Linked DNA regions of Lonchura striata. The protein of the gene in region 1 interacts with the protein of each later gene in a biochemical or structural test. Links are inferred from orthologs where the notes say so. Each region holds a gene or a part of one and is shown on either strand. Other genes may lie near its edges.

Region 1 (16,503 bases):
GAACCATGCACATTGAAATCCTACTGGTTTCTGCCAGGTGGTGGGTGACCCAAAGTCACACAATAAACATGTTAAAAAGTGCACATTAAAAACAAACATGGGTCAGGGATAGCGAGGGTTAGATGCAGACTGATACTGCAAATTTTTGCCCTGTTCCAGCAGGCATACACTGTGATCACAGTGTATGTAAGCAAAGTGGCTGTAAGCAAAGAGAATTCCTATGTAAGCACAAAAACAGTAAAACATTCCAGACCAGCTTTAATACCAGGAGTAAAAGCTATGCACCCCAGCCTGCAACACTTGCAGGGCAAGAAGAGACACCCAGATGACTGAGCTCAATTCCTAAGTACCTGCAATCACATAATTGCTGTCCAGCCCAGAAGTTCCCACAAAAATCCACTGCACCCACCCATGCCACAGAACGAGCTCCCAAACCCCTTTGCAGAACGAACAGCGCTCTGAAGCAAGGACACAGCCAGCCAAGCAGTGCTTGTGGCTGAGCCCTGGATCTCCTAACAAACATTTCTACACCTGTTTTTCCCAAATTCTTACACCAGCCCCCAAGGGGTGTTTGCCCAACACACTCTCCACCTGAAGAGAAAGCCCAGCACTTCCAAAGCTGCTGCAGAGTCTAACAACCCTAAGCTGACAAAGGCTGCATCACCAAGCCACACTTTCTATCAGTTTCCAGTGACTCCTGTAAATTCTTAGTAACTCAGCAACTTTTATATATAAACTTTCAGTTTCATTTCTTCGAAAGACAATGGTTTATTTTGTTAAAATCATCCATTCAGAAATCAGTCAGACCAACACAGAGCATGCTGATCATGTTTTCTCCCAACACTCCAGTATAACCTTTAGCAACTCATCGGGGAGGAACCAAACTGGGCTCAGGCTAATGCCAGCCTTCAGCCAAACACAGCTTCCAAGAAACAGCCACGATTCTGCTGGCAATGTTACTCCAATTCCATGGGAAGCAAAGCATCCAAGAGCACTTCATTGAACCACCATGATAAATGGCACCAATGGGACACAGACGATGCCTTTTTAGTCCTCAGTCACCCTCAGATGAGCTGGCCATACCAGGGCAGCACTGTGAGGCCAAACACAGCTTACAACACACCCTACTGTGCTTTTCCAGAGGCTGAAGGTGCTGCTCTGTTTTCCAGAAACACATCACCAGTCGCTTTTCCATCCTTTTTAATCATGCTTGCTTAAGCTCCGGGTTTTGCTCAATGATTAGATACAAACTTTAAACATAACAATGCAACTCTGGACTTCGATGGTGCATTTGCTCAAATTGTTTTTGAAGGCAAAACTACACCACCTGAAACTGACTCCTGTGTTTTGGAGAGCGTGGGAAGCCTTTTTCAAAACACTTGTAAATGCTGTGCAAATGAAATGACAAGACAATAATCCAATATAATCAATGTCAGGCCACACAACAGCATTTGAATTTATATATCCTTGTGGAGCTGAGCAACAAACATCTTAATCCACACAAACAACTAGATGCAGGCAGGCATACAGACTTTGTTGTCCACTTCCAAGTATTGGATGACAGATGCAGTGCAATGGGTTAGACTCAGCAACTTGACACAGCACAGCAAAATCATTATTTTTAGCAGTGTTCGTTTTACCATGCTAGTCCATCCTTACCTCTCCAAGAGATAAATTACCAACAAAACCCAAAGACCCCACTGGACATGGATGTCAAGACCTTTCCTTTTTTCTCCCACGCTGAAGTCCCAGGAGCTGCACTGATAAGAGTGTAAAAAATACAAAGGGCAGAAATCCAGACACTACCCCAAGAAACTGGGACAACAGCGTGCACACACACACCCCCATGTGCCACATACACAGTTAAGAACCCCACATGGTTCTTCACTAAGTTTGACCTCAACTAGAGAGGCAATCGAAGGGAAAGATGTAAAGTGTGTCAGTCCTTGTTACGCATATAGCTAAACAGAACCAGATTGTAAAAAAAAATATACATGGGAAAATCTACATCCTCAGGTCAAAGGTTTTCCACAGCACAATTCTTACTGAAGTATTTTCAAGGGCTGCATAAACCCCTGGGTAAAAGAGTGTATAATTCAAACTCTGACAGACAATTAACTGTAACCATGTTAACGGGTGTCACTGTAACAAACTGCACTGAACAGCTGCAGAGACAGAATGGGAAGAAAGCAGAGTTATGACAGATGTACACCCTGAAGACAAACTGAAAAACTGGCTTTTCCTGAAAGTAACCCACTAACTGCAATGAAACGAAGACCTAATTATCTCTAGTACACAAGAAATTGCTTCAGAACACCTACTGTACAAATGGAAGCGAAGTGTGACACAGTATAATAAAATAGAAGATGGAGACATTTGGGTTCTATTATTGGGTTCTTTTTAAATAGCTTATTTATAACACCACCCCTTCTTCACTGACACCTGACATCACAAGAAGCTCTTTTGCTTCTACCCTAGACCTAAAACAAACAAACAAACAAAAAAGGAAGCACATCAGAAATAAGCTATTACTAAAATTTACTTAAAATTCTATTACGGAGCACCATCCACAGTGCAAAGAGTCACAGACCTTAAATCTGGAGGAAAAAAATCCTCCAAGTGTCATGAAACAAGGCCAACAGTGTTCTCCACAGGGAATATTTCTACCAAATTCAGCACACCTATCCAAAATTTATCAATATAAGAGAAAAGCACAATTTGGCCATATCAACCCAACACTTCTCAGGAATCCACGTGCTTATTTATGCACCTGTGCAAGCCAGCCCATAATATTAACTTACTACCTGAACAGTGGCAGCAAATTATTCCCAAACTGTGGGAGTGAGTGAAACGGACCATCCAAAATCTCGAGCAATGCATGAACTGCGTTCCAAGAATTATTGCAACTCAACCTGCACCCACTGCAGTTCCTCTCTTCCACCTAGGAAATGGTACCAGTTTGGCCATCTCCAGTTGAAAATGGGAGCATGAAGCAGCAGTACTAAACACATGGAGAAATCATTTGAGGAAACACTGGAAGTTTGAGGGTTTTTTTACTAGGTTCTGTGAATTGGGAATGAAACCAGAGAAGCTGGAAGGGAAATCTGCAGCTGTGAGAGGAAAGGGGAGTTTATTATTATTATTTTATTTTAAACATATGTATTAAACATAGCTCAAAAGCTGGGAGCAAGTGCTATCTGAAGCCAGAGGGAAAATCCTGCCACTAAAACATACAATTCTTGCTGTTTCAACAATATCCCACTGAGTGTGAGAAACATCTAGAAATAGAATCATAACAAGCATATTTTGGCATAACTTTAATGAAGGTTTTAGGTTTACAAGTGTGGGCAGCTTCTGACTTAGTTAAAAGACAGCACCTGCTTAAAAAGGAAATTATTCAAAATAACAGCTAAAACCTTTCTCTAAAAAATGGGGCTGGCATAAAAACATCAACTAAGATGTGCTGCTGAATCCTACTGGAATTTCTAATACTTCCACGGCCTGTTTTACTGGGAAGGGGCAGGGAGGTGACAGATCTCAGGATGCCCCGACTCTCACCTGCCGGTGAACCTAATCAACTTTCTCAGAATAAGGCGAGCAGCTGAGGACCAGCCGGAGAGAGCCGGCAGGAGAAGTTGGCCGGCGGCAGGCGCTGCTCGCAGGTGCGCTGAGCCCACGGCTGCGGGATGGGGCCACTCCCCGCAGGAGGAGAGGAGCCGAGCCTTCGGGAGTCGCTTCCAACGCGGCACTCACGCCGACAGCCGGCTCCAGCCCGGCCGGGCACCGCTCAGGGCGGCTCTCCTCCTCCTCCTCCCGCAGCGATCCCATCTCGGCCCCGGCCCGGCACCGCGCCCGCCCAGGGTTCGCGGCAGCGGCGCCGACCCCGGAGCCGCCAGGGCACGGCCGGCTGCGGTCACGGAGCAGCCTCCTGGCCGGGCTACACCTCCCCCGCGGGGGTGGCACCTCCCCGGCCAGCTGCACGGCCGCCTTCCAGGAGAAGCGGCCCGGCTGGCCCCCTCCTTCTCCTCCCTCCCGGCTCCCGCTCCTCCCCGCCGCCGGTCGCACCAATCCGCTCGGCCACGGCTGCAAATCAAACTTGGTGCCCCCGGCTCCGCCGCCTCTCGCTCAAAGCGCTGTCACTGCCGAAAACGGCCACGGCACCTTCCCCGCCCGCCCCCGTGGCCACGCTGCCACCGAGGGGGTGGACGGGACGGCGGATCGAGCGGCAGCTCGGAGACGAGCTCATTTTCTCTGTCCGTCTCTCCTCCCACTCCCAGACAGTTCTGGAAACTGTGTTATCACCTCTTGTCACAGGAAACCAACCAGCAGGCGGTGCAAACAAACAAACACCCTTTGCCTCCACCCTTCCCAAATTCATCCTATCGGGAACGAACGGGCGGGCGCGAACGGGAAGGGAAAAGCAAATTAAAAAAATTTCTACAAATAAAACCAAAACAACCAAACATCCTCCAGGCTGCCCCCCTCCCAAAAAAAAAAAAAACAAAAAAACACAAACACCACCAAAATTCTCCTGGGAGCTGGCGACTACGCGTGCCCAGGGCTGGGCAGGGTGGCTTTGTCTAAGAGGAACAAGTGGAATGATGGCTGGAGCCGCACTCACCTCCCCAGGGAGAGCGGCCCGTTACACAGCAGTGCCGCAGCCCCGCTCCGTCCCGCTCGCCAGGCACGGGGGCAAGAGCCAAATCGCGGAGCTGCCCAGACCGCCGCCCGAGCAAGTTGGGGCGTTCGCCGCCGCCCCCCGCGATGTTCCGTTCGCGCCCCAACACCGCCGGCCGCCTTTCCGCTCCCTCGCCCACAAACTCCGGCCCGAGCACACGGATTCGCCCCTCGGCCTGCGCCGGGCAGCAGCAGCGGGAGGGGGCCGGACCCCCCACGTCCTGCCCAAGTTCGCTGCGCGCCCCCCGGCCCGTTGCCGCTCCACCTCCCACGGCCGGGGCGGGGGCCGGCGCGGCGGGGTCGCCGTGCACCTGCCGGCCGCTGCCCCGATGCCGCCCCGCGCCCCGGTGGGGCCGCACGCATTTCCCCGCCTTTTCCCACTCTCAAACACGTGCACTTCGGGGCTCGGGCAAGTTGTTCTCCAGCAGGAGACACCGCGCACCCGTCTGGGGGGACAGAGCCAGCTCTGACAGCTCGGCGCTCCGCGCCTCCAGTAGAGCGCCCACCGGCGCCCATCAAGCGGGAGGCAGACCGGCTACGGCTCTCCCGCTCCGAAAGGCAACTTCTGTTTAATTTCACCGATGAGCAGTTTTTATGCATTCCAAGCATTTACGCCCCCCCCCCCCCCCCCGCCCCAAGCCAAATCGAAGTGCAAGCGGGGTGGTAAAGGGAGGGAAACAAAGCTGCTCCTGCATACCGAACACCTCCTCTCCCACGCACACCGCTCCCCGCCCGCGGCGAGAGGCGACGGGTCTCGTGGGCATCTGGGTAACACGGTGACACACAGTGGCCATGACTCTCCCCCACCCCCTTCCTACACATCAGTATCCGAGCAAGACTTGCGCTCTGCCATTGCCATCTGGCTACCAAGTTGCTCCAACGCTTCCTACTTTCCGCGGCGGGCGATACCAGGCGCTGCCCCCGCGGCGCAGCCTGCAGCGACGCCTGGGGCGCAGGGCCGGGGGCACGGCACGGCACGGCACGGCACGGCACGGCACGGCGCAGACCGGCACGGCACGGCACGGCACACCGGCGGCTCACTTGGCCGCTGCACCTGGGCAGCTGCGCGCTGCCCGCTCGCCCGCAGCGGAACAAAAAGGGAGCCGGCAGCGGCAGGTCGCGCCGGGCGGCAGCGCTGCCTCCCCTCCCGCCTCCGCCCGCCACAGCCCCGCACAAGTTGCTTGTGGGATAGCGGAGCCGCAACTCGGCCGCCTCCCCTCGCCCCGTACCGAGCGGCGCGGCTCTTGGCGCCATGTTAATGACGTACTATCTTATTTCCACTAGGCAGCGACCTTCGGCACGAAACTGCTCTCCCGCCGCCTCCGGAGCGACAAAAAAACCCCATCAAATATGGCTGTGCTGGCGGCTCCGCGGCTGGCGCTGCGGCGGGCACGGTTACCTGCTGGCGGCGGCGCGGCGGCGACGAGGGCGGGCGGCGCGGCCGGGCTCCCCCTGCGCGGAGGGCTCGGGGCCGCCGCATGAGTTCGGCGCGGCGCCGGGCAGCGGGCACGGAGCGCGGCTCGCTGCGCCACACACACACACACTCTCACACACACACACAGATTCCCTCTGACTGACGTTTGTACTTGTTATGGAGGAAGGACTCCGTGAATCAAACTCGTTTCTGGGTCACTGCTGCCACAGGGGGGAGCTGCTTTAATCCCCTGCCAAAACTGGAAGGCGAGGGAAGGGGGGAGAAATAATAATAATAATGCAGCGCCGGGGTGGGGAGGCGGCGGCGCGGCCCCGGGGGAGCCGCCGTTAACTCTTGGCGGGCCCGGCCGCACCGCGCGGGGCTCCCGCCGCCCCTCGCCGCCGGAGCCCCGGGGGAGCGCGGCCGCCCGGCTCCCGCCGCCTCCCGCTCGTGTTCCAGCGGGCTGGGAAACGCAGATGGGAGGCAACGCCGCGCGGCTGGGCAGCTGGGAAATGATACGTGTCTGCACCCGCATCCCGCCCGCGGCACTGCTGGCCTTACCCTGCAACCATTAACTCTTCTCTCCAAAAGATTTAAACCGATTTCGCAAGCAGGAATTCTAGCGATGCACTGGCTCCCCGTGCAGAACGCGTGAGTCACTATTTGTCAAGCAGAGAAACTGAGGGTACCAAGAGTTAAACGCTGTGGCCACATGCGTAGCGCATAATTGCCGGGGCAAGAATAAAACTGCACGCTCCCTATTCTCAGCCCCCAGCGTTATCCCTATGGCTCGTTAACTTTGATACTTCTCAAAGACTAGAAAGAGCCAACACAATCTGCGGTTCAGTTCACATCTCTCTAGCAGGAGAGGAAATTATCTCAAATTGGCACCAAATGACATACTAAACTTCCCATTACCTAAAAAGCGTGTTTGAATGCAGATTTCCTTATTTTTCCACATAAATCGCTTTACCTCACGCCATACACCTGTGCTCCCTGAGTGAAGAACTCCCCCTTTTGAGCAGAATTCCTGAGCAGATATATTCTGAGGTAATAAACACCACAGAGAAGATTCAGCATAAGCTCAGACACAGAATTAAGGCGATCTGTGTAAAGTAATCCCCATAGTATGCAAATACAAATTAATGCAGCCTCCACAGAAACATCAGTCTGCCAAAGAATCACACCTTAGTTCAGCAGAGGAATTGGGTCGTTATTCATCCGTGCAAACCGAGTCATTTCTTCTGCCGTCTCACCCACCCACCCAATAATGAAACAGTACTTACATTGAATCTGCACATCCTAAAAAGTTGTGCTTTACTACAAAAACATCCTCCCCCCTGGAGATATTCTTTCACTGTGAAAATCAGACAGTTGTGATTTTATTCACAGAACACCCTGAAGCACCTTCAGATTTTTGAATCTAAGACTTTGATTCCCTTGTTTTCTACTACATGAAAATACAGAAAGGCATGCATTCCCTACTTTCTTCCTACACTTGCCTTGGCATCCAGATCTGTAAAGATACCTGTTGGCATAGCTTTCTGTACATCAGCAGCTTAATTAGGAACATCCATGACGATCCATGCAACACACCCCGTCACGGTAACTGATAATTATAATAAACTTACTGACACACCCCTGTCACCTTACCCCTGAACTTCCAGGGCTGTTAATTTTCAATACTGACTGGAGACTTAGTTGTTCTGTATTTCCTAAACCTGTTGCTGTGCCATGGTATAAACCCCAGAACAGAACAGGGCAGTTTATTCCCTCAGTGGTCTGCAGGCCCCTCAGGGGTTCAGGGACTGCTTCTCATAAATCCGTAAAAAGCAATCAAGGTTAGCAAAGCTACTGTCAATTGGCAATTACTGTACACAGGCATGCACTTCTACTGGGTTAATATGATGATGTTTCTTCTAAATAATTTTAAATAATATTGTCCATTGTAAAAGACTGAAGAATCACAATAAATGCTATTTGTTCCACTTTCCTGAATTCTTTCCAAGAAGTTCAGAACAAGCTTCTGAGAAGAGCTTAAATGTGAATGGGCTCTAATTTCTCAAGAGGAATGACAGAAACTTTCCTGTCTCAAGCTCCTTGGATTTGAGGCAATATTTTTGTTTCCCTGTAATTAGTTTTCCTTTGCATATGTAGCCAAGTTTATATTACACATTGTATTTTAGGAAACATTTCTCTTGGAAGCCATATGAGGCCATACATTTAAGATAACATGATTGTTTTCACATTTAAGATAACATTAATGTTTTCATGGTACCATGAATTATGGGCTGTGTTTTTAAAAAGTACCAACTATCTCCATTACCATAGAAAAACTCCCCAAATGTGAGTCCTCTGTGCTCCACAAGCAGCTAGCCCAGTCTTTACAAGAAGGTAACACAACTGGAACAAAGATGCTATTTTGTCTCTGAGTACAGTGCATCCACAGAGATTCCTCTGGAATAATACACTTCTATGTTTTAAAAGGAAATATTTAAAAAATCAAAGGGCTAGGAGCTGGAAGAATAATTTTGGAAGTGTCTGGAAAACAAAAAGGGAATGTTACTGCTTCAGCATTACAGGTATGAAGTTGGATACGAGCATAGCTATGGTCAAACAAGAGAGAGTAGTCTTCTGCTACCTGCACTGACTAAACATCAAGGTGATGAGGAAAATTCTGCTTTAAGTAGAGTCAGTAGGAGTTCTAAGATCACCCCTCGTCTCTAATAGGTATTTACCCTCTCAGCAAAACAGGCACTTTCTTATAATAAATAATGTCATAAGGTTCTGTGCCTCTCTCACTTATCTTTCTACCAGCATTATCATTTATTCCAGGAACATTCAGAGAACATGTATCCAGCTTAGAGTTAGGCTTTGTGCTAGCACACAGAACTTCTGATCCCTTCTGTAAGTTGTTTCATCAGATACACTCACTCATATATTAAACTTTATTTTAATTCTTTATTGTTTTATTAGTTTCTTAACATTTCCTTCTTGGATTGTTAATATTTTAGCTGATACACAAATCCAAGGAAAGACTATGTAGCTTTTCAGCACCCTTCTGTGGAAATTTGTTGCTGTAGCAGTGGCTAGTAAAATTAATTTCCTTCCTTCTTCCTTTTTTTATTTTGATAATACTTTAACAATTGAAATATTTTCTGCTAATTGATACAGTCCTCATACATGAAGGTGTAGCTAACAAAGCTGAGTTTCTCCTCACTGTTAAATTTAGTCCAAGAGTATCACTTAAAATTCAAAACTGTTCTTTTGCTCTTTTGGCTCGAGCTTTCAGGAACTTCTATTTTCTATTTTTTATTTTGAAAATTAGAAACTTGAGGAGAAGAACAGTACAGATCCAAATCAGCACTGTCAACACTAGATTGTACTTAAAGAGTGGGATTTTCCAGAGAGTTTTCATATCTCCTGTGACAGGTATTTTATAGAGCAGAGCTGTAAGATGGATGCATAGTTGGGCCAATTCATTTCAAGGTCCATTTTGTCTCTAGCTGGTCTAATCACACAAGCAAGGGGAAAAAAAGATTTTGACTCATGCATATGTAAATCTATACCACTTACAAGTTGCATAAATGCAATATTTTTAAATCCTGCAGAAATAAAACTTACTCAACGCAGTTCCTGTATGAGCCATAGAGGAACACAGTTGTCACAGTTTTGTCCAACCCAAATACATCTTTTATGGCATGGTGGCACCTAACTGCTTCATAAAATTATGCACAGAACCCTCCACTAATTGGTGGTCTGTTTTTTTTGTCCCTCTCATTATCCACAACTACCAAAATTTGGTGTGTCTGGATTAGGCAGGTCATTATTCCCTTTGACTCTGAAGCTGAGGTTTACAGCTGCCAGGATTGCTTGTGAGAGTGATTAGTTTATTCATAAGCCATACACCAAAGATGTGATTTCTCCTGTGCTCACAACCCTCATTCTTCTGGTTTACAGTTTCTTTGGCTTATTGAGATGAAGTCATGAGAGATCTCTAACTCGGTGTATGGGCCAGAGCCCCAGGAAGGAGAAGCTGTGCCAGTGAAGGATTAGGATAGAAAGGGATGAAAATGAATCCTCAGAGGTGAACTCTTTATTTAGTGGGCTTGCACAGACAGACCTGTGTACTCTTTTTAATGACAAAACTTGAGAAGTAGAGATTGTAACACTAATTTTATCTGTGGGTAGACAGGGGCCTGTAAAGGTTATATCACTCACACAAGTCACATGTTAAGTCAGCATTAAAACCAAGAATAGAAACCTGAAGTAATGCCTCTCAGTCCAAGGTTTCTAATGATTAAACCATATCCTCCCCTTTGGCCTGGTTCACAGCACAGAACACAGTACAAAGTATACCTCCATGACATTTTGCACATAGATATCTTAAAATGTTTCTGCAAGTTAGACACAATCATTGCATGAATATGCAACTGCTGACAGTGTGCATTCATCTAAAAAGGAAGCAGGGACAGGTATGCCCAATAGGTAAAATTAACTACATTCCAAAATCTAAAAGTACAGGTACTGAAATCATGTGCTTCCCAACTGTTGTAATTGAAAAGTAGAAGCTGACAGGAAACCAGTAGAACAAGAAGCTCAATGGAACACTGGAAACAGACTTGCAGGTCTGCAAGTTAAGCTGGATGAAGGTGATGCATCACCTTTAAGGGAAATAACACAATTTTGTACATGATGAGAGAAGTAATTAGCAGCCGAGGTAATGCCCTAAGGATTATGAAAACCTCAGGCAAGTGAGAATTTAGCAGCAGCAGATCAAATCTTGGCTGAAGTATCTACACGTGTCTATCTGGCAGCTCATCAGGCAACATTACAACAGCTAATCTAAATGAACTTCAACATTAAATTGTGTTTATGCAGGCAGAAATCACATAGTGAAAGAAAGGTGCTGTGACAAAACTTCTGGAAGAGTTCAAAAGAATCTGATTACAGATTTTCTGATTGCAGAGTGCAACCTGATAACTGGTTGCTAGAAGTGGAGCAGTGGTACCAATTTATCACAGAAGTGCAAAAAAAAATCAATTTTTTTTTCAGTAAAAACTTAGGGCCAAAATTACTTTGAAGAAAATTTGCAACTCTGGATCTTTAGGAATCGGATAAATATTAAATCAAAAAATAAAGATCGGGTGTTCCATTTGCTATGAGCAGTTTGAGATAAGATGTCTACAAAGAGCAGAAATCCTGCAAGTAACTTCCCATGTGGTCCTTTTGGGTTCCCTTTAGTACTTGATGGAATCACCACAGAGCTGCTTCTATTTCTTCTTCCAAATGCAATGACTCACAGTTCATTGAATTTAAAGCTCTTTGCAGGCCATGAAACTGAGGTCTGCCACAAGGGCAGAGAAATCCTACACCCTCCATGGCAAAAAACAAACTTAGGACAATTAGCCATGAGATAGGATGTATTCTGTTTGTCCTCAGTAGGTATAAATAAGCTCCCCTCCTAAGTCTCCATGCTTGAAATCCCTCTTAGGGGATGTGGCAACCATGATTTCAACAGATGGCAAATTTTCTCCTTAAATGGTCAAGAGGTCCACTTATTTCAGATGCAGTTGTCCTGAAACCTACTTCAACTATTAAGTAACTCAGCTCAGTAATAGACAAAATAAAAGGGTGTAAAGAAGCGACCACTGCTAGATAAAGGAAATCTAGTCAAATAGACAAGTGTTGTTTATTTCAGCTATTTTACTTTACCAATTATATGTTTTAGAAATTAAGTTTCTCAGTGTTTAGCAAGCAGAAAAAAAATTGAGAAACTTAAACTAAATATCTTTTTCTTGTGGCAATACTGATTGTTGAGCTTTTCTACTGTGTAAATAAGCACAAAAACCAGTTTGGGATGTTTTACTCAACATCAGTGTTATAAAAGCTACCTCATGGATTTAGATTTCACTACTGTTTATGTCCAGAGGTTCAACAATATCCAACAAGACTTGGAACAAAAGGTTTGGAATATTCAGCACAAAAGAATGTTCACAGAATATAGGAAAGCTGAGCTGTTATCTAACCCTCCTCCATCTCTCACACCCCCTCAAAGAGGTGGGGAGGTATTGGGATAAAGAGGGCAGTTTATGCCATATATCCATGGGCAGAAATAACCCTGCAGAACCCATAACCTTTCAGAAACTGGCCCGAGCTGACCGTGTCATTAACACATACCCAAACCAATACAGTTCTCACTGTTACACTTCCACTTTGCTAAGAGCTTTTCAGAAATACACACACAACATAAGAAAAGCCACAGGACTCTTATCAGGGAGAGAATTATTATCTCTTTTCTAAATAGGATACTGAGCCATAATTGTAACGAGATACAAATAAAAACTGCCTCTGGCAAAGCAAAGAGACTTGAAATCATGATTCAGCCCTGACATGTTATAGCAGACTAATCCTTCAGTGCTGTTTGAAACACACACAGCACGAGGGGGAAGATACCCTTAACACTGCATTTGCACAGGGAATGTGTCTAATCCCAAATTTCTGCTCCAGACTCCACCTGACCAGTGAGGAGTACAGGAGGTGGCATAGTTTCTGCATGAGGATGTCCAGAGGGAGAACCCCAAATGGTTGCATGGTAAATTTTCAGGGCTCAGGATGTAAACAGGCCTTGAGTGATTTCATACCTTTTATACTAATCGTTTTGAGGTTACTTATTTTTTTTAATGGACAAAGGAGTTTATTGCTTATTTAGAAATTACAGCATCTTTGCTCAAAGGCAAGACTGTCACGGTTATTTTTAACTAAGTACACCGGGAAGAAAAGTTGGAAATCAGATCATCACTCCGGTTTCTGTGAACTTTGCTTTACTAAGCTAAAAAAAACCAATAAAAATAAGCAAAAAATAGTCTCAGACCTTCCAGAACAACATTAAAAAAAAAAAAAAAAAGTCTGATCTGCTTATGTGGGCAGATTTTGGCACAGGGTAAACACCCATGTTTGCTCCTCAAATTGCACAAGCCAGAAAAGATTGTGTCTTTCATTGAGGACATGCTTTTAAACCATCACACATGTATGTCACTGACAATCTGAGGAAGGTTATTTTCTTCCTGTGGAAATGTAAGAGCTAGGACAAAGTAAATGTGCCAACTGCCTTTAATCTGGTTCCCTAAAGTGACATCTATAGTGGGCACACAAATCCTTAAGTAGCTGCCAAAACCCCAGTCCCAGCCTACTCAGCTCCTCAAGTATTCATCCAGCCACAGCAGCATCCCTGCTAAAGATGAGCTCACAGTGCCTCAGATCTCTTCTGGGGAAGGGCTACTTAAGGTAGAGTCTCAGGTCACAGCAGACAGAGTTTACAGAAGATACGTTCTGGAAAGCCTGAAAGAGTGCCAGCCCCAGTGCCATGCCAGAGTACAAAGTGTGCTGGCACTCTGGTGTGGTGCTTTGGATCGATAATGTGTAATAAAGCATATATTGACTGACAGGCTGGACAGGCCCATAGAGACAGCAAAGGGGTTTTTACTCTCCTAGCATGTTGACAGTGGAGCCTAGAGACTCAATTTGTCTTTTCTTTACATGTTCATCTTCTGCAAGAGCTGCTCCTGTGGGTTCTTTGGGGTCTCTTTTTAAGGAAATTAAGCATCCTACACGCCTTCCTTAATAAAATGTTGTGAGTACAGTGCAATCAGTAGTGCCTCACACAAGGTTTAGAGATCCTTGATCACTTGTTGGCAGGAGTTTGACCTCAGTGAAGGACATCAGGGATAGCAAAAAAGTCCCCCACCTTGGACAAAGAAAAAAGAGCCCAAGATCACTGGTTGTGTGAGCCCTGGCAGTTCAGGTGAAGGGAATGGACAAGTATAGAAAATGCTGGCCCCAGTGGGAGAGCCTCAGTGACCAATTAAGCTGGTTGTCCTTCTAAATTAACATCATCTGGTTAAATGTCTTATATCCCCTTAAAGTTGCCAAAGATCGTCTAACATCCTGAATGCTCTATTTTTTTCCATGGGAAAAAAAAAAAAAAATCAGTCCAAGAAATCAAGCTACAATATACACACAAAATACTTTGCTGCTCTATACACACATGCTTTATTTTTTTATGAGTATCTCAAAGCCTGTAGGTCTCCAAGCCCAGCTAAGGAAAGAAGACACTGATATTTATTTTACTTTAAAACTTATTTCCATATACTTAGAGTTTGTAAGCAACCATTGAAACCAAAAGCATGAGTTGAAAGTCTCTTTTCTTTGTGAATGGGTGTTTATGCCACTAACATTTGTGGTGTTAGGCTTTTCCCCAGGCCTATGTTTTATAATTACAGAGAATTCTATATAGCCACTGCCATTCAAACACTATGATACTTCTTAATAAACTGATGTGTCACACACAACACATCATGCCCTGACTGAAAACCATCATCTCAACCTTAAAATCCAGTGAAGAATTAATTGACAAAGGGTTTAAAAGCTGTATCTCATTTCCAACATAAGCACCAAATGAAATCCTACCTAACAAGGTGTTTGCTGATCCTAACTCTTTTCACACTTCACAGCAGAAAAATAGACACTTTCAACCCTGTGAAAAATAACACTTTTGTTCACATACTATATACATAGGACACCAGTTAAAATATCTTAACTTTTTTGTACTCTATTAATAATTCCACTATGTTCATCTTGCAGTTCTCTATTGAGAAAGAATTTTGTTTCATATACTGGAAAATCTCCTGTATATTTAGGCCAGCGCTTGCAAATATAAACAAATAATCCATTTTGTTATATATTTGGTAGGTGGAAAAAGTTAAAACAAGGGACAGAGACACTTGAGACTAAGCTCTGAAAGGTTTATCCCATCAGTCCCATCTAATTGACATCCTGACTGGACTCAATGATTTTAAAGGTTTTTTCCAACCCTCCTGATTCTATGATTAAGTTCCTAAAGTTTCTTATGCTGCTTGACAGTGCCAAAAAACCACAAGAATTTCCTCAAGAGAAAAAAACACTTTTGCAAACAAGTGAAGTTGCAATTTTTTTTTTCTTTGCACTAAGGTTACGTCACTTATCTCTTGGGTACAGATGACATTCATAACCATGTGCCTGGACCTCAGCTAAATTATCTCTTTCCCCTAAACAGTCAGAGGGGATAAAAACAATAAAAGTTCTGTACAGGAAATTAGGAAGGCTTAGTCTTGAGCTTAATTTTGAAAATTCTTTCAGTTGAGCCTCCAATATTTTTTTCTATGGCTTTTTATGTATGGAAGATTTTTATCATTTGTGCAGGCAGGCTCGGCAGTTGCAAGTGTAGCTGCCCAGCTGCAAATTGTGGGCACAGCACCTGCTGCACTAAAGCTCTCTGCAGACAAGTAGACACATTCCAGCTATTCAATCCAAGCATTTAAAATTATCTCCACCCTTCAGGAGACCTCTTTTTGCCTTTGTGGAAAATACTTATTTTAGTGGACAGGGTCCTGCCCACCTGGATTCAGCCAAATTCACAGCAAGTAGTACCAAAAGCATTCTAAGATTTCTACAGTAAAATGTAATGACTTCATTTTAATAGGTAAACATGATGAGCTCCACAAATGACTGCTGAGGCATTAGACATCATTAGTCCCACAGAGAGAGCCCTAATGTCCTGCAGTATCAAATTGGTTACCACTAATTTACGGAGGCTGAATCCACAAATACATTTCTATCATTTTGCAGTTGCCTAATTAATTACATATATTAAGCAAATTAAACTGAAGGATGCAGCAAGTACTCCCAGGGCAACCAATGGCTGTGTCACCAGCATTTTGCTGCTTTTACATTCATACACAATTTTCTTTTAGTGGCAAAGACAGTCATAAAAGGATGAAAGCAGGAATCTCACTAGTACAGCAGAAATCAAAAGAGACTTCTATTGTATTGAAATTAGTGAAATAACTCCAAGAGAAGAACTCTATAAACATGTGCAGGAATGAACACATGTTCAGTCCTTGAACCATGTTGTGCCTATTGTGTACATGCATATTTTATGTCAACAGACAACAGAAGCAATGAGTGAAATATTACTACAGTCATTTATTTTAAATGTATGCACATTTTTGTTAATTTAAAAATATACTGATTTTTCATGGTCATGCAAAATCATTCAAAACCAAAATATTTTCTAATACTTCTAGAGCTCTATTTAGATTAAAAAAAAATATATATTGTTTGCATTCTTTTTTCCTGTACTACAAGAGCACAGGACAATTGAGGAGCACAGGACATGTCTTCTATTTTCACATACAGGGAAAAAAAACCTCAACAAACCAACACAAAACATAGCCAAATCAGAAGGAAACATACACAAGGGCAATTCCACAGCTATTTGGTGGTAAATTATAAACCACAATATGTCCCTTAGTGAGTGTGCAGAATGTGTGATCCAGAGTTTGGAATGTCCTCATTTCCTGACATTATTTTCC
Region 2 (15,765 bases), on another chromosome or scaffold:
CCCAGGTCAGACAGGGGACGCTCAGGGGAGCCAACTTTTTCTTCTACTTTAGACAGCAAATAGCCTAAAAAAATGTGAAAAGAAACATATTTAAACAATTCAGAAAGGAGCCAGGATGGAAGCTGCTCCAGCAGCAGCAGCCAGGTGAGATTTCCTGGTGGAGCTGGAGGGATTTGTCCCTGGAATTTCCCCCCACACACTCACTGAAGTCAATGAGCATTTTGCCATAGCCTTGTCTCATGTACTGGGGCATGGTCAGGATGCAGGACACGTTGTAGTTGAGGAAGGAATTCTTCTCCTGGAAATGAGCAGAGAGGAGGGGCAGAACTCAGAATTTTTATTCCTTTAGCTGTTTTATTTAAAAAAAAAAAAAAATCATGGTGATTAATATTTATTTTCATGTATTTTTCTCCACATTCCTTCCCAGTTTCTTTCTCCCTAACAAAGATACCACTCTGCTTCCTGGCAACCACAATTCCTTGGAGCTGGTTTGGTTTTTGCAGGGAATGAGAAAAGATGGAGCAGCACAACACCTGCAATCCCTCAGCAAACAGAACAACCCCTGCAGCTCAGCCTTGGACTTTTACCTGCTCCCAAGAGCAGCAAATCCTGAGACTGCAAAAGGGATTCAGTGCTGATAAGGGGGCCCTAAATCCCATTTTAGTGAGGTGGGGGATGAATGTTTTCCACTGACCTTGGAGAAATACCCGATCAGGTGGCAGCCAGTGTTGTCAGCCTCCGTCATGACGTAGAAGAGGAAGGGTTCCACATCATAATAAAGGGTTTTGTGGTCCAGGAACAGCTTTGCCAGCAGACACAGGTTCTGACAGTAGATCTGGGCACAAAAAAATGAGATGCAAGTGTTTACTCCAGTGGGATACGCCAAATGTGGGCAAAACCACCTGGGAAAGGACAGAAAGAGTCAGAATCATCTGAGAAACAATGTAGGAACAGAGCAGCTGGGCCAGGAAACAATTCCAGTGGTGATGGAAATGGATGAGCCTGGATCCTGCCCCACACCTCTGCCGGGTGAGACGCAGAGGGAGCTGCAGGAGCACCACAGGAGCAGCAGCAAAACTCCTGCAGGAATGGCCAAACTGCAGCAGCCCCTGTGTGAGCAGGGCCACCCCGGCTGCCTGCAGGGCCAGCAGGGCCCAGCCTGGCCCCTCTCACCTTGTTCTTCTTGCCGTCCACCTCGAACACGGAGATGGAACCCTTGCGGTAGATCTCGTCTCCCGGGGGGTGCTTCCAGACACACTTGGCCTGGGACAGGGACAAAAGTGGGGCTGTCATTGCTGGCCTGGGGACAGCAGCTGCTGCAGGGGGACAGGGAGCTGCTGCAGGGTCATGGGGAGCTGCAGCCTGGCCTGCTGCTGCAACCCAGCCATGCCAGCCTGGGGTCAGACACTGCCATGTGCACGGGTTGAGCCTGGCTGGGCATTGGTGCCACAGCAGCACTCCCAGCAGGACTGAGCCATTCCCTGACCCCACAGCAGCATTCCCAGTGGGAATGAGCTCTCCCTGACCCCACAGCAGCTTTCCCTGACCCCACAGCACCATTCCCAGCAGGAATGGGCTCTCCCTGACCCCACAGCAGCATTCCCAGCGGGACTGAGCCATTCCTGACCCCACAGCACCATTCCCAGCGGGACTGAGCCATTCCTGACCCCACAGCACCATTCCCAATGGGAATGAGCTCTCCCTGACCCCACAGCAGCACTCCCAGCGGGACTGGCCCCCAGCCCTCACCATGTGCCTGCGCAGGATGGTCTGGCTCTTCATGTACTTGAGGCAGAACTCGCACATGTAGAGGCGCCCGAGGCGCGCGTACTCCTCGGGGTAGGGCGAGTGGTACCACGTGTCCAGCTCGTAGCGCCCAAACGCGATGGTCTTGATCATGTTGCTGCCCTCGGTGATCTGCCCCTGCAGCCTCAGCTTCTCCTGCCCCGGGGGAAAAGCAGGCTTAGCCAAAAGGTTCATTCCAAGTGGCAGGAGGGGAATTGGGATTTGTTTTTCCTGGAGGAAATCCGTTTCAAGTTTTCTGGATTCATCTTTCATTCAATTCCTACAGCTCCCCGCCACTCCCTGCTCCTTTCCTGAGCCACAGGAACAGGGCACAAGTGAGGAGCAGCTGAGGGAGCTGGGGGTGTTTATCCTGGAGAGAAGGCTCAGGGGACATCTCCTGCCTCTCCATAACCCCAACAGGAGGGTGCAGCCAGCGTGGGGCCAGGCTCTGCTCCCAGGGAACCCCAGGACAGGAGGACACAACCCCAAGCTGTGCCAGACCATGTTAGGCTGCACATGAGGAAGAGTTTCTTCCCAAAAAGAGGCACTGGGAATTGGAAGGGGCTGCCCAAGGAAATGTTGCCATCTCTGGAGGTGCTTAGAAGAGCCTGGATGTGGCACCTGGTGACAAGGTGGTGTCAGGTCACGGGTGGCACTCGATGACCTCAGAGGGCTTTTCCAGCCCAGTCCATCCTGTGGCTCCGTGACACAGCCCAAGGCCCTGCCCCAGGAACCCAACCGGCCCAGAAAAGCATCAAAGCATCGTTTGATCCCTCTCTGGAATGGGATGTGGCTTTGGGAGGCTCCTCAGGAGCTTCAGCAACACCAGCCTGTGAACTCAGTCACGGGCCAAGGCCGAGGTGGCTTTTGTTGTCACCAGGCCTCAGCAGGGACGCTGAAGCTGTCCCTGTCCCCTGGGAGCACCCCTGGAATGTCACCACGCATTCCTGAGTGCAGAGCTCAGCTCCAGCACTCGCCCCCAGCCCGGGCTGGCTGTGCTGGCCTGGAGCTGCTGCCCAGCTCCCCACAGAGCCCCCAGGGCCATGCCTGGGGCAGGGATCTCACCAGGTCCTCGGAGGCGCGGGCCTGAGCCCTGCGGAACAGCTCCAGGTCGTACTCGCTGGTCAGGTTCTCCAGGAGAGGCTCCCTGGTGTTGCCATAGGTTTGCCTGTGCTCCTGGAACACCAAAGGACAGCGTTTTGGCTGCTGAGCTGTTGGATCCTGCAGCTTTTCTAGCTGGGAATGCTGCAGGATGACTGGGAGAGACAAACTCCATCCCGGGGAGGGATGAAAGGATGGAATTCCTGCTTTTACCATGTATTTCTCCTTCTGCTCCTTGCTGAGCCCCGAGTTCCTCTTCTTCCTGAGCTCAGCCACCTTCTCCTTGTACCGCAGCTGCCTCTCTGTGGGGGCCTGGAAGAACCCCCAGGTGGGACCCTGAGAGGCTGCAGCCCCTCTAAACTTCCCCCTTCCCTGCCCATCCCACAGAATTCCATCCTGGCTGCCATTCCACGAGGTCTGAGCCAGATCCTCTGCTAATCACAGGGCACTGCAGCTGCAGCACAGGAATGCAAAGCAGGAAATTTCCTTCCCACCACAGGACAGGGTGAGCTCCCCACGGAATGCTCCGTGCTGGGGAACAGCTCCCAGCTGACTCAGGGACTGGGAAATGTCATTCCCCTGGTTTGGCTCTCTGCTGGTTACTCAGAGGGAAATTGCAGCTTACAGCTCTGCAGGAATTCCCTGCTCCTGCACAGCCAGGCACAGGGGAAGGATCATCCTGAACACAGCTGTGCTCTCCCTGCCTGCTCCAACCTCACTGAGGGAATTCCCCCTCTGGAATGGCAGCTCCTCAGGATGTGGAGAAGGGAGCCCAGGCCCAAAGCGCTGTGCTGGGAGCTGGGAGCTGAGGCTGTCCCCTCACCTGGTGCCTGGTGGCGTGCCTGTTGTTGTCATCCTGCCTGTGGGCCAACATCCGCTCCTCAATCTGCTTGTCCCGGCTCTGCGCTCGCACCTGGAGGCCAAAATTCACCTGTCAGGGCTGCAGCCGCCTCCTGTCACCCCTGCCCTTCCAGGGGAGACACACAAACGCAGCAGCACGCTGTAAACTGTTTGCTGCTCACAGAACACAAGGCTCAGCATTTTACCCTAAAAATCCCAAAGGAGGAGAAATCAGAAGGCAAAACCATCCACGTTTACCTTGCACTCATCTGCTGACAGGTTGTGGTAGAGAGGGCAGCCCGAGATGGAGAAGTGGCGCTCGTGCTTCCCAGTCAGGTGTCCTGCAAGGGGTCAGAAAAGCAACAGAACTTGTGACAAATGATCCCAAAGAGGAGGAGGAATTCTCCCTCACAGGATCACCGACAGGGGGATAGGAGGAGGAAACTTCCTGGTTTAAAAAGGAAGGAAAATTTTTCTCACACTAAGCCAAAGCAGCCAGGGATGGGAGTGCAATAGTTTGGCACTGAAATCCTGTTTCTGGCAAAAACCAGTTCCACAAATCTGTGACTTTTCCTCCCACACCTGTGCTCGCCCTCCTGTCTGCTTCCTCATCCTGTCACCCCCCAAACAGAAAACATCTCCCTGTATTTACGCTTCATATCCTTTCTATAAACCCACTCCTTGCCATTCCTGACCTGATCCCCTGCTATTTTTAGGATTTGCACCCAGCCAAGCAGGCAGCCCGCAGCAGGACTGCCAAGGGGGTTACCCAGGGAGTTGCAGCCAGGGGTGGGACACTTCATGTTGAAGTTGTAGCTCTCGTGGAAGCGGCGGCGCTTGGGCCGGTGGGAGAGGTCGCTGCCCGAGTCCTTCATGGACATGTCCTTGGCCAGGCTCTCGTCGTGGGACACGTTGGGGCTGGAGATGTCGATGTCGGACTCCGAGGAGGGCGCGTTCCCCGTGGGGGTGCGGGGCGGCGACTCGTCGTGATCCGCTGCGTTCTTGGTGTCTGGGGAGGGCAGAGGGGACGGGGCTGAAGGGATTGGGGCTGAGGGGATTGGGGCTGAGAGGATTGGGGCTGAGGGGATTGGGGCTGAGGGGATGAGGGGACGGGGCTGAGGGGATTGGGGCTGAGGGCATGAGGGGACGGGGCTGAGGGGATTGGGGCTGAGGGGATTGGGGCTGAGGGGATTGGGGCTGAGGGGATTGGGGCTGAGGGGATGAGGGGACGGGGCTGAGGGGATGAGGGGACGGGGCTGAGGGGACGGGGCTGAGGGGATTGGGGCTGAGGGGATTGGGGCTGAGGGGATGGGGCTGAGGGGATTTGGGCTGAGGGGATGGGGCTGAGGGGATGCGGCTGAGGGGACTGGGCTCCCAAAAATGCTCCTGAAAATGCCCCAGGGGCTGCACAGAGCCTGTCCCACCCCGGGAGCAGCATTCCGTGTCCTTGTGGGTACCCATGCGTTCCCTGCCCCTCTGGGCACCAATGCAGCGTTCCTTGCCCCTCTGGGTATCAATGCAGGGTTCCCTGCCCCTCTGGGTACCAATGCAGGGTTCCCTGCCCCTCTGGGTACCAATGCAGTGTTCCCTGCCCCTCTGGGCACCAATGCAGCGTTCCTTGCCCCTCTGGGTATCAATGCAGGGTTCCCTGCCCCTCTGGGTACCAATGCAGGGTTCCCTGCCCCTCTGGGTACCAATGCAGTGTTCCCTGCCCCTCTGGGCACCAATGCAGGGTTCCCTGCCCCTCTGGGTATCAATGCAGTGTTCCCTTCCCCTGTGGGTACCAATGCAGCATTCCCTGCCCCCGGGGGTACCTCTGTCCGAGAAGTCCACGGCCTGCTCGGTCTCGGAGCCGGAGGAGCGGGTCTGTCGCAGCGGGTACTTCTTGGGGGTGACAGGAGCTGGCTGCTGCTGGCTGCGGGTCACCCTCCGCGTGGAGTACACTGGCTCGTCCGGCCCGAACGCCGGCGGGTTCCGCACCGGGCTGGAGTCTGCTCCCGGGGAAACGGGGCCGTTACACCAGGGGACACCGCGGGGACACCGTGGGGACACCAGTCACACCATGGGGACACCACAAGAACCACACAGACACCACAACACTGAGGGGATACCACAGTCACACCACAGCACCCATAAGAACCCCCATGTCCCCCACTGATTGACACCCTGTGGCTCCGTCCTGCCCATGTCACCATGCTCTGGCCTTGCCTGATAAAATGTCAGGACTCTCGGAGGAAACTGGAGTGACAGCAGCTTGCTCCAGGTTTAACAACTTAATTGACCTGCAATTAGCACCCAGCTTCAATTTGGAGAAGCAAAGATCTCTTTGTTTCGATAAGAACCATCAGGGTTTAGATATCGGGAACAGCAGGACTGCCTGTGGTGTGGAGCTGCACCTGGGATTTGTGTGTGGGCCTGGAAGAGCCTTGCTCCAGTTACAGGAGGAAATTTTCCCCAGTTTGAGGATCTTTTCCCCAATTTAAGGAGGAGCTTTTCCCCAGTCTGAGGAGGAGCCTTGCCCTGGTTTGTGGAAAGGCTTTTCCCTAGTTTAAAGAGGAATCCCTAGTTTAAAGAGGAGCCTTTTCCTGGCTGGAGGAACTTTTCTCCCATTTGAGGAGATTTTCCCTGGTTTAAGGAAAGGTTTTTCCCTGGTTTGAGGAGGAGCCTTTCCTGGGTTTGAAGAGGAGCTTAGCCCAGTTTAAGGAAAGGCTTTTCCCTCGTTTGAGGAGGAACCTAGCCCCAGTTTAAGGAAAAGCTTTCCCCAATTTAAGGAAGAGCCTTGCCCCACTTTGAGAAAAGGCTTTCCACAGTTTAAGGAAAAGCCTTTCCTGGTTTGAGGAAGAGCCTTTCCCCAGTTTGAGGAAGAGCCTTCCCCCGGTTTAAAGAAGAGCTTTGCCCTGGTTTAAGGAAAGCCTTTCCCCAGTTTGAGGAAGAGCCTTTCCCGGTTTGAGGAAGAGCCTTTCCCGGTTTGAGGAAAGGCTTGCCCCAGTTTGACAAAGGTCTTGCACTAGTTTAAGGACGAGCTTTGCCCCAGTTTGAGGAAGAGCCTTTCCCCAGTTTGAGGAAGAGTTTTCCCAGTTTGAGGAAGAGTTTTCCCAGTTCGAGGAAGAGCCTCTCCCGGTTTGAGCAGGAGCCCTCCCTCACCCTGGGAGCTCTGGCTGAGCCGTGCCGAGGAGCGGGTGACGCGGGCGGATCTGCGGGAGGTGCCGTCGCTCTCGGAGCTGTCCGTGTGCTCGGGGTCCGTGGAGAAATCCGAGTCCTCGGTGCCATCCGAGCTGCTGCCCGCGTTCCTCTGCAACGGCACACACTGCCCTGAAACGCTGCCCTGCTACTGCTAAAAACACAACACTGAGCGGGGATTTCGTGTTCTGCACCTCCTCACAGCCTCTGCAGCTGCAAGGGTGACCCAGGAGGTTTATGCCAAGTCAGGGATTCTTTTTGTGTCTCCTGCTCTGGCAGTGAGGAATTTCCAAAAACAAAGCGGGACAGGTGATCCCTCATGGCCAAATTCCCACCTCAGGCTGTCATTCCCAGGATATAAACTGGAGGAATTATCAGAATTATCCCAAAGCGAGGGGAGCAATCTGGATATCGGAAGGGTGACTGGCACCGGTCAGCAATCGCAATTTTTATTCCCTTCCCTTTCTGTTATCACGGTTATTTAACACCACAACAGTGTTTCACTTATTTCTCATTATTAAACCGCCCCAAGCTAAAATCTTTAATTTTGTTCCCCCTTTTCCAGGCTCGTGCCTTATTCCCCGGCGCGGTTGAGCGGCTCGGCGGTGAGGGGAGGCCGGGGGTGCCGGCAGGGTGAGGGGGCGGCGATGGCGGCGGCCGTGAGGGGAGCGGGGAGGGGCGCGGCCGCCATGAGGGGAGGGGGGGGCGCCTCGCGCCGGTGGCGGGAGCGCGGCCCCCGCGCCGCTTTGTTTTGCCCCCAGCGGAGCCGCGCCGGCCCCAGCCAATCACAGCGCGCGTGGGCGGGGCCGAAAGGGAGGCCTACCAATGGCAGCTCGAGGAGCAAAAAGGCGGGCCGCCGCCGCGCGCGATTGACAGCGAACGGCGGCCAATCAGCGCGAGGCTTGCTCCCACGGCAACGCCAACCGTGGGGGCAGGCCGCGGCGCGATGGGGGAAGGGAGGAACAAGGCTCGCGCGGGGAGGTGACCGTTGGGCGGGGATGGACAGCAGCAATAGCCAATCAGCGCCCAGCCCGGTGCGGGGACCTGTCCAATAGACGGCCAGCTCTCCGAGCGCGTGCCCAATCGGAAACGGCGAGGGGCGGGCCCCAATGGCCGCGCGGGGGAGGGGGGACGGTAGCCGTTGGGGGTGATGAGTGACAGGCAGCGCGGCCAATCAGCGCGCGGCCTGATAGCGCCGCAGCCAATCGGAGAGCTCGGGAGGCGGGCGCTGGGGGCTCAAGGCCGCTACTTTCCCCCCAGTTTTAGAGCCGGGAGAGGGAGCGGAGGGGCTGGGGAAGGGTCAAAAGCAGCGGCCCGAGCTCCTCGGTCTCCCCGCCGGCCGCCTCCCCCGTTTCCCGGCCGCGCTCACCTTCCTGCGCTGCATCCTGGGCGGGGGCAGCGAGGTTGCCTGGTCCCCAGCGCCCGCGGCCCGCGAAGCGGCGGTGGCCGCCGCGGTGTTGCTGTTGGCGGACTCCGTGGTGGCAGCCGTGTCTCCCGCCCTGCGGCACGTCTGCTGCTGCGGCGCCAGCCCCGCTCCCGCCGCCGTTCCCTGCTCGGTCCCTCACGCTTCCGCCGGGACGCGGCCCACACCCCCGTCACGTGACCGCGTGCCATCTTGGAGCCGGGCAGGCGCCGCCGGCAGTGAAGCCGCGCGTCACCATCTTTGACTGGGGCAGCGGGCTGGGCGGGGGTTACGGCTGCCATCTTTGATAAGGGCACAGGGTCCGCGGGGCGCGGAGCCCCCGTTACTGAGGCCGCCATGTTGAGAGCGGGCAGCGCCGAGCTGAGGCGGAGGAAGCCTCGGGAGCTGCAGCACCGGCAGCTCCTCCGCCCAGCCTGCGGGGGCAGTGCCCTGGAGGTGGGATGTGTAGCCCGGGCATTGCGAACCGTGTTGGAATTCCCGGAGGGATGAGAGGAACTGTGAAGGACAAAGCGCCAGGGCGGGGGTTCGGCCCTTCCCGGCCACAGTGCTTTCCTGACTCGCTGCTCCCCGGGAACGTCCCGGAAGCGCGGCTTGGAGCAGCGGCAGCGGCTGAACGGGGCCTTGGGGAGGAGCCGGTCCCGGCCGGGCCCCGTCACCCCCGCCCCGCCGGGCTCCAGCGGGCCCGGACCGGCGGAAGGACCCCGGAAAGCCCCGCTCGGGGGTCGCACAGAGTAGGCGGAGCCCCACTGCCGCAGCCACCAATCAGAATCCGTCTCTCTATCCCGCCCCCTCGGCCCAGCCAATCGCCGCGCTCCACATCGGGTGTCGCTCCCGCGCGCGCCGTGCATCGGGAAGCCCCCCTAAGTCTGGGGTGCCCCGAGCACTGCCTGTTCTACCCCGCACACTCCCGGTACCATCGCGGCCGAACCGCGGCGGGCGCAGCCCCGGGGAGGGTTCGGCGATCTCCGTGTGCAGCTCCCGCCCCGCCCCGCGACATCCCGAGCGCGCCTCGCCCGCCTTTCCCCCCGCGGCGGGCCGGGCAGCGCGGCGGGCGGCGCGGGGCGGGGCGGGCGCGGCGGGGCCGATGAGGCCGCCCGGGGCGCCGCGGGATGTGGCGCTGGAGGTGCCGCCCGCGCTGAGCGGCGCCGCCGCCGCCATGGGAGCGAGCGCGGCCCCGGGGCTGCCCGAGCGCCTCCGCCTGCCCGTCTGCTTCCTCGGCGTGTTCGCCTGCTACTTCTACTACGGCATCCTGCAGGAGAGCATGTGAGCCACGGCGCGGGGAGCGGGGACACCGGCGGGGGGCGCGGGGCTCACCCGGGGCTGGGGGCTCTGGGGAGGAGGGACCGGGGCAGAACCGGGCAGCCGGAGCCGGGCGGGGCGCGCCGCTCCTTCCCGTGCCCTCGATTCTGTGGCCGGTGTCCCCGGTGCCGGTCCCGCTCTGTCACCGGTGTCCCGGGTGCCACCGGTGCCGGTCTCTCTCGTGTCCCGGTGTCACCGGTGCCGGTCCCACCATGTCACCGGTGCCTGTTCCGCTCTGTGCCCGGTGTCCCCGGTGCCTGTCTCTCTCGTGTCCCGGTGTCACCGGTGTCCCCGTTATCCGTCCCGCAGCACCCGGGGCCGCTACGGGGAGGGCGCGAAGCAGGAGAAGTTCAGGTTCGCGCTGACGCTCGTGTTCATCCAGTGCGTGATCAACGCCGCCTTCGCCAAGCTCCGTAAGTGCGGGATTCCCGGAGCCCCGGGAGTTCCGGGCCGTCCCCGGGCCGCTCCGAGCCGTCCCCCGCTGTCCCCGCAGTGATCCGCCTGGTGGACGCGGCGCGGCCGGACCGCACGCGGGGCTGGCTCTACGGGGCCTGCTCGCTGTCCTACCTGGGCGCCATGGTGTCCAGCAACTCCGCGCTGCAGTTCGTCAGCTACCCCACCCAGGTGGGCACGGGGACCCCACCCGGGTGGGCACGGGGACAGGGGGACAGAAACCCCACCCACAGGGACATGGGGACAGGGGGGACACAGGTACCCCACCCAGGGGAACACGGGGACAGAAACCCCACCCAGGTGGGCATGGGGGCATGGGGGACATAGGGGGACACAGCTACCCCACCCAGGGGGACACAGGGGGATGGGGACAGGTACCCCACCCAGGTGGGCACGGGGGGACGGGGACACAGGGGGGGCACAGGTACCCCACCCAGGTGGGGACGGGGACCCCACCCAGGTGGGCACGGGGACAGGGGGACAGAAACCCCACCCACAGGGACATGGGGACACAGGGGGGACACAGGTACCCCACCCAGGTGGGCACGGGGGGACGGGAACCCTACCCGGGTGGGCACGGGGGGACATGGGGACAGGTACCCCACCCAGGTGGGCACAGGGGGATGGAGACACAGCGGGGACACGGGTACCCCACCCAGGTGGGCACGGGGACAGGGAGACAGCCACCCCACCCACAGGGACATGGGGACACAGGGGGGACAGCCACCCCACCCAGGTGGGCACGGGGACACAGGGAGACATCTAAGCCACCCAGGTGGACACAGGAGGGCTCTTTCTCTTTTTGGGATTCTCTATCTTTTTGGGGCTCTCTCTCTCCCTTTGGGGTATGGCTTGTTAACACCCATATCCCTTCCCAGGTGCTGGGCAAGTCCTGCAAACCCATCCCAGGTGAGAGATTTGCCCGTTTTTGGGGGGTCTGTGGAGCTCTGGGCCCCCCACAGCCCCTCCTGTGGGAGCCCCCTGGGGCTGGCTTGGCTTCCATCCCACAGAGGGCTTTGGGATCGGGGTGGGATGTTCAGTCTGCCCAGGCAGCATTTGGGATTGACTTTGTGGGGTTTAACTCCTCTGGGTGGATTTGGGGCAGTTTTTGAGCTCTCTCTCCGCAGTGATGCTGCTGGGGGTGACTTTATGGGGATTTAATTCCCATGAGTGGATTTTAGGGGCTCTCTCTCTGCAGTGATGCTGCTGGGGGTGGCATTGTTGGGGTTTAACTCCTCTGGGTGGGTTTTGGGGCAGTTTTTGACCTCTCATTTCCCAGTGATGCTGCTGGGGGTGACCCTGCTGCGGAAGAGGTACCCCCCAGCCAAGTACCTGTGCGTGCTGCTCATCGTGGCGGGGGTGGCCCTGTTCCTCTACAAGCCCAAAAAAGGGACAGGGGACACCGAGCACGTCTTTGGCTACGGGGAGCTGCTCCTGGTGAGTGCAGGGACCCCACGGGGCTGGGCCTCGGGGGACTCGGGTGGGGCTTACCCTGGGAGAAATCCTGGGATTCAGGTGGGGTTTACCCCTCACCTGGGATAAATTCCAGGGTTTCAGGTGGGGATTTACACCTGGGATAAATTCCAGGGTTTCAGGTGGGGATTTACACCTGGGATTAACCCTCAGGTGGGGTTTACCCCTGTGATAAACTCTCAGGAACGGCTGTAAAACGAGAATTGCCTTTTGCCCTGGGGAGGGGAGCCGGGCCTGACCATGTGCTCTGTCTGTCTGTCCCCATCTGTCTCTCTGTCTGTCCCGTCTGTCTGCCTGTCCCCATCTGTCCCCCATCTGTCTGTGCCTTTTCTGTCTGTCCCCCATCTGGCTGGCTGGCTGTGCCCAATTTGTCTGTCCCCATCTGTCCCCCGTCTGTGTCTGTCTGTCCCCATCTGTCTGTCCGTCCGTCTGTCCATGCACAGCTGCTCTCTCTGACGCTGGACGGGCTGACGGGCGTGTCCCAGGACCACATGCGTGCTCACTACCAGACGGGCTCCAACCACATGATGCTGCACGTCAACCTCTGGTCCACGCTCTTCCTGGGGGCAGGTGAGGAGCCAGGGCCCCGCCGCGCTCCGGGCTCGGCTTCCTCGGGCCTTTTTGGGCTTTTCTCTGCTCATGGCCCGGCCCTGCCCCTGCCCGGGCTCTCCTGGAGCTCCCACGGCAGCTCCTGCTCCAGCTCGGGGCTCAGAGCAGCCCAGCAGGGCTGGGAGCTGCCCTGGTGCTGGAGCAGCTTTGAGGCCCCTTCCAGCCCAACCATTCCAGGATCAGCGCTCCTGGTTAATTGGTTAATTGCTAGCACTGTTCTGTTGGAATTTGATCCCCGTTAATGATCTTCCTTTCACTAATTAACCAGCAGGGCGCTTGCTTCTGCTGCTGGTGTTTCCTGCTGGCGTTTGTGGGGTTCTGTCCCTGCTCTGGGGGTTCTGAGCCCAACCTGCCCCCCGTGGGCAGGAATCCCCAGCCAGGCTGCTCCTCCCGGGCTGTTTTCCAGGGATCCTGTTCACGGGGGAGCTCTGGGAGTTCCTGAGTTTCACGGAGCGTTATCCCAGCATCATCTCCAACATCCTCCTCTTCGGCCTCACCAGCGCCCTGGGCCAGGTCGGTGCCCTGCGCTGGGGTCAGGGGTCAGGGATGGGATTTTGGGTGGGGTTTCCTTCCCTGGGAGGCAATTCCCAGGGAATTCCCAGGGAATCTGTGGCTGCCCCATCCCTGGCAGTGTCCCAGGCCAGGTTGGAGCACCGTGGGATTGGGGAAGGCGTCCCTGGATGAGCTCCAAGGCCCCTCCAGCCCATCCCAGGATGCCACAAACCCACTCCAAGCCAGGAAGAAGCAGGATTTGAAGGGAGATCCTTTGGGATTTGCCCCTGGCTGCCCGGCCTGGCAGTGCCAGTGACGGGGGCTCTGTTCTGCTTCTGGGGCAGAGTTTCATCTTCATGACCGTGGTGTACTTCGGGCCCCTGACCTGCTCCATCATCACCACCACCCGCAAGTTCTTCACCATCCTGGCCTCCGTGGTGCTCTTCGCCAACCCCATCAGCCCCATGCAGTGGGTGGGCACCGTGCTGGTGTTCCTGGGTGAGTTTTGGGGGAAAACCCACGGGATCCTGCCCTGGGAGCTCCTCAAACCCGTGGGAATGGGACGAGGACGTGTGGGACCAGCAGAGCGATTCAGTCCCTTCCCCCCAGCTCATTCCATGGCTGAATTTGGGGATATTCAGCTGATTTTTCCCAAAATTCCCATCTCCCACTGGCTGGAAGAACACAAACCGCATGTTTTGTCTCCTGCCAGGCCTTGGGCTCGATGCCAAATTTGGGAAGGGGGTGAAGAAGACATCGCATTGAGGTGGATCAGGCGACCCCGCGGTTGGAATGAACTTTTAATTTATTGTCTTGTACCTCAGAATCTGGTGTGGAACTGGACTCAGGACAGGGAATCAGAAGGAAAGCGTGTGGAATTTATTTTTGGGTTGAGTTTGGTTTGGTTTTTTTTTAATTCTAAATGGTCTCTAAAATGTAATCCTTTAGTTTAAGGTGTAATTTTGCTTTTTTTGTGTAATCAGAGCTGCCCCCTGAGCTGAGCAGCAGCAGCAGATCCTTGCCTTAACAGGAAAACACAAATCCTTCCTATCTTTATTAAAGAAAACCAGACAATGGCCGCTTCTCCAGGACTTTTTTTGGGGATTTGGCTGATTTGGGGGGGACCCAGCTGTGCTGTCCAGGGAGGGAGAGGAATGATCCCAGTCCTTTGGGGTGATCCCGGGATTAAAGCCTTGTTGGAGGCACCCCCTTCGTGTTGTGGGGTTTTCCAGAGGGTCGGAGCAGGCCCTTGGATTTTCTCCCACTGGGATGTGTCAGCAGGGAAGTCCTGGACTGCCCCAGCCCTGTCCTGGCTCCCAGGAAATGAGAATTCCCCAAATTTGGGGCAGCTCTGGGGCGGAACCCACAGATCTCGCAGGGCGGCTCCTCTCCCATGCCCTGGGATCCCCAGCAGGAATTCCCAGAGCGGCTCCCTGGGGTTCCTCACCCCTCCTGAGGAGTCTTTGGGATGTTCCTGCCTGGGTCCAGCTGTCCCTCGGAATAACCCCAGAGGAACGGGGTGGGATTCCAGGAATTTCCATCCTCTGCTGCCTCCGAGGCACTTTGGGGGAGGGAGGATTCTGTTCCGTGGGTTTTGGGCTCTGCTCCTTTTTCCCAACCCGAGGCAGGGCTTGGATTGGGAGGAACATCAGGAGACTCCTGCTGTCCCCAAGGAAGGGCCAGGGATGCACAAAGTGCTGCCAGAGCATCCAGGGAAGGGCAAAGGGATTTGAATTCCTGGTGCCAAGGCCTGTTGGGTTGGTTCCTGGCAGGAAGTGACCGAGGGAGCCCCATGCAGCCCCGGGATCCTGGGAGGTGTCCCAGGGTGGGACCGGATGGGATTTAAGGTCCTTTCCAGCCCCAACCATTCCGTGATTCCCAGTGTAAGTGCACCAGGAGGCAGCTCAGAATTCCCAAGGGACAAATCCCAGTGCCCAGGGTCTCCACAGCTCTCTGGGCTTCACCGGCTCCAGCTCAGCCCCAACTTGGGCCAGACCTTCTCCAGTTCATGGGACACAAATCCAGGTAAATCAGAGATTTTGGGGTTTTCTCAGCCCTGGGAGTGGAGCTCCCTCTGCCTGTGCAGCTTTGGGGTCAGGAGCTCTTTCCCAACAGGAATTCTGGGGCTCTGGAATGTTCTGGGCAGGACATTCCCGCAGGGAATTCCCGAGGGTCGCTGGCCCCGGGCCGGAGGGGAATTTGCGGCTGCTGACGGCTCGGGTGAGCTGAGGGCTCTGAACCCATCCCAGCTTTCCTCCCTCCCGGATTTTGTTGGCTCCGGATCCCAATTCCAGCCGCAGTTACCGGCAGGGGGAACTCTGCTTTAACCATTCCCAACCAGCACCGGGAGAGCCGACAGCGAGCGGCTCCCGTGCCGTCCCTGCTCCAGCCAAACCCAGCCGCAGATCCAGCTTTTCTCCAGGATTTTCCCCCATTTTCGTTGTGTTTCATCCTTCCCGGCCACCAGCAGAGCCCCTGGAGCCGGGCTTGGAGCTGAAATCCTGCCCTGCTCCTCCCGGCTCGGCACCGCGCCTGGACAGCGTTCCCGCTGGAATTCTCCCGGGAGAAGGTTCCCGCTGGAATTCTCCCAGGAGAAAAGCGTTCCTTCTGGAATTCTCCCGGGAGAAAATTCCCACTGGCATTCTGCTGGGAGAAAATTACCGCTGGAATTCCCCCGGGAGAAAATTCCCGCTGAAATTCTCCCAGGAGAGCGTTCCCACTGGAATTCTCCTGGGAGAAAATTCCCGCTGGAATTCTGCTGGGAGAAAATTCCCGCTGGAATTCTCCCGGGAAGCTCCGCCAGGGGAGGCTCCCGCCGCGATCGGAACCGGGCCGGGAAGGGGAGATGGGATTGAGGAGCTGAGCCCAGCACCCACCGCGGGAATTTGGCAGCTCCGCTCCCTCTCCTTTCATCCCCACTGCTCCTCCTGCAGCTCCAGCAGCAGATGGCTCAGGAAAAAAAAACCCAAACGTTTGGAGAGGGAGGTGGAGGGGACTGAAATTTGGGTATTTTGTAGGGATGGAGATAATCCTGTCAGTGATGAGTGAAGGGAGAGTAAAGGTGGATAAGGAATTGTTGTCATTCCCTTGGGATCTTGGTGTTCTTTTGA

What was found.
Region 2: the proteins of JADE1 (region 1) and KAT7 form a complex in vitro, tested with the Homo sapiens proteins (2 studies listed by BioGRID). The link is inferred for Lonchura striata from reciprocal best matches to the Homo sapiens genes JADE1 and KAT7.

Annotation. Positions count from the first base shown.
Region 1 is NC_134606.1:67,397,152-67,413,654, forward strand, and holds the start of JADE1 (protein Jade-1), read right to left. Parts: upstream 5,965-16,503; 5' UTR 5,945-5,964; intron 5,404-5,944; exon of another isoform or gene 5,375-5,403; intron 1-5,374.
Region 2 is NC_134627.1:7,847,204-7,862,968, forward strand, and holds the start of KAT7 (histone acetyltransferase KAT7), read right to left. Parts: upstream 8,494-15,765; 5' UTR 8,291-8,493; coding exon 8,276-8,290; intron 7,019-8,275; coding exon 6,871-7,018; intron 5,718-6,870; coding exon 5,541-5,717; intron 4,736-5,540; coding exon 4,496-4,735; intron 4,068-4,495; coding exon 3,985-4,067; intron 3,800-3,984; coding exon 3,710-3,799; intron 3,199-3,709; coding exon 3,100-3,198; intron 2,962-3,099; coding exon 2,851-2,961; intron 1,942-2,850; coding exon 1,750-1,941; intron 1,264-1,749; coding exon 1,174-1,263; intron 836-1,173; coding exon 695-835; intron 299-694; coding exon 205-298; intron 65-204; coding exon 1-64. Other genes in the region: SLC35B1 (solute carrier family 35 member B1), read left to right, coding at 9,486-9,592, 9,938-10,041, 10,122-10,252, 10,960-10,990, 11,361-11,518, 11,998-12,124, 12,570-12,676, 13,000-13,153 and 1 more. UniProt on the Homo sapiens protein: Catalytic subunit of histone acetyltransferase HBO1 complexes, which specifically mediate acetylation of histone H3 at 'Lys-14' (H3K14ac), thereby regulating various processes, such as gene transcription, protein ubiquitination, immune regulation, stem cell pluripotent and self-renewal maintenance and embryonic development.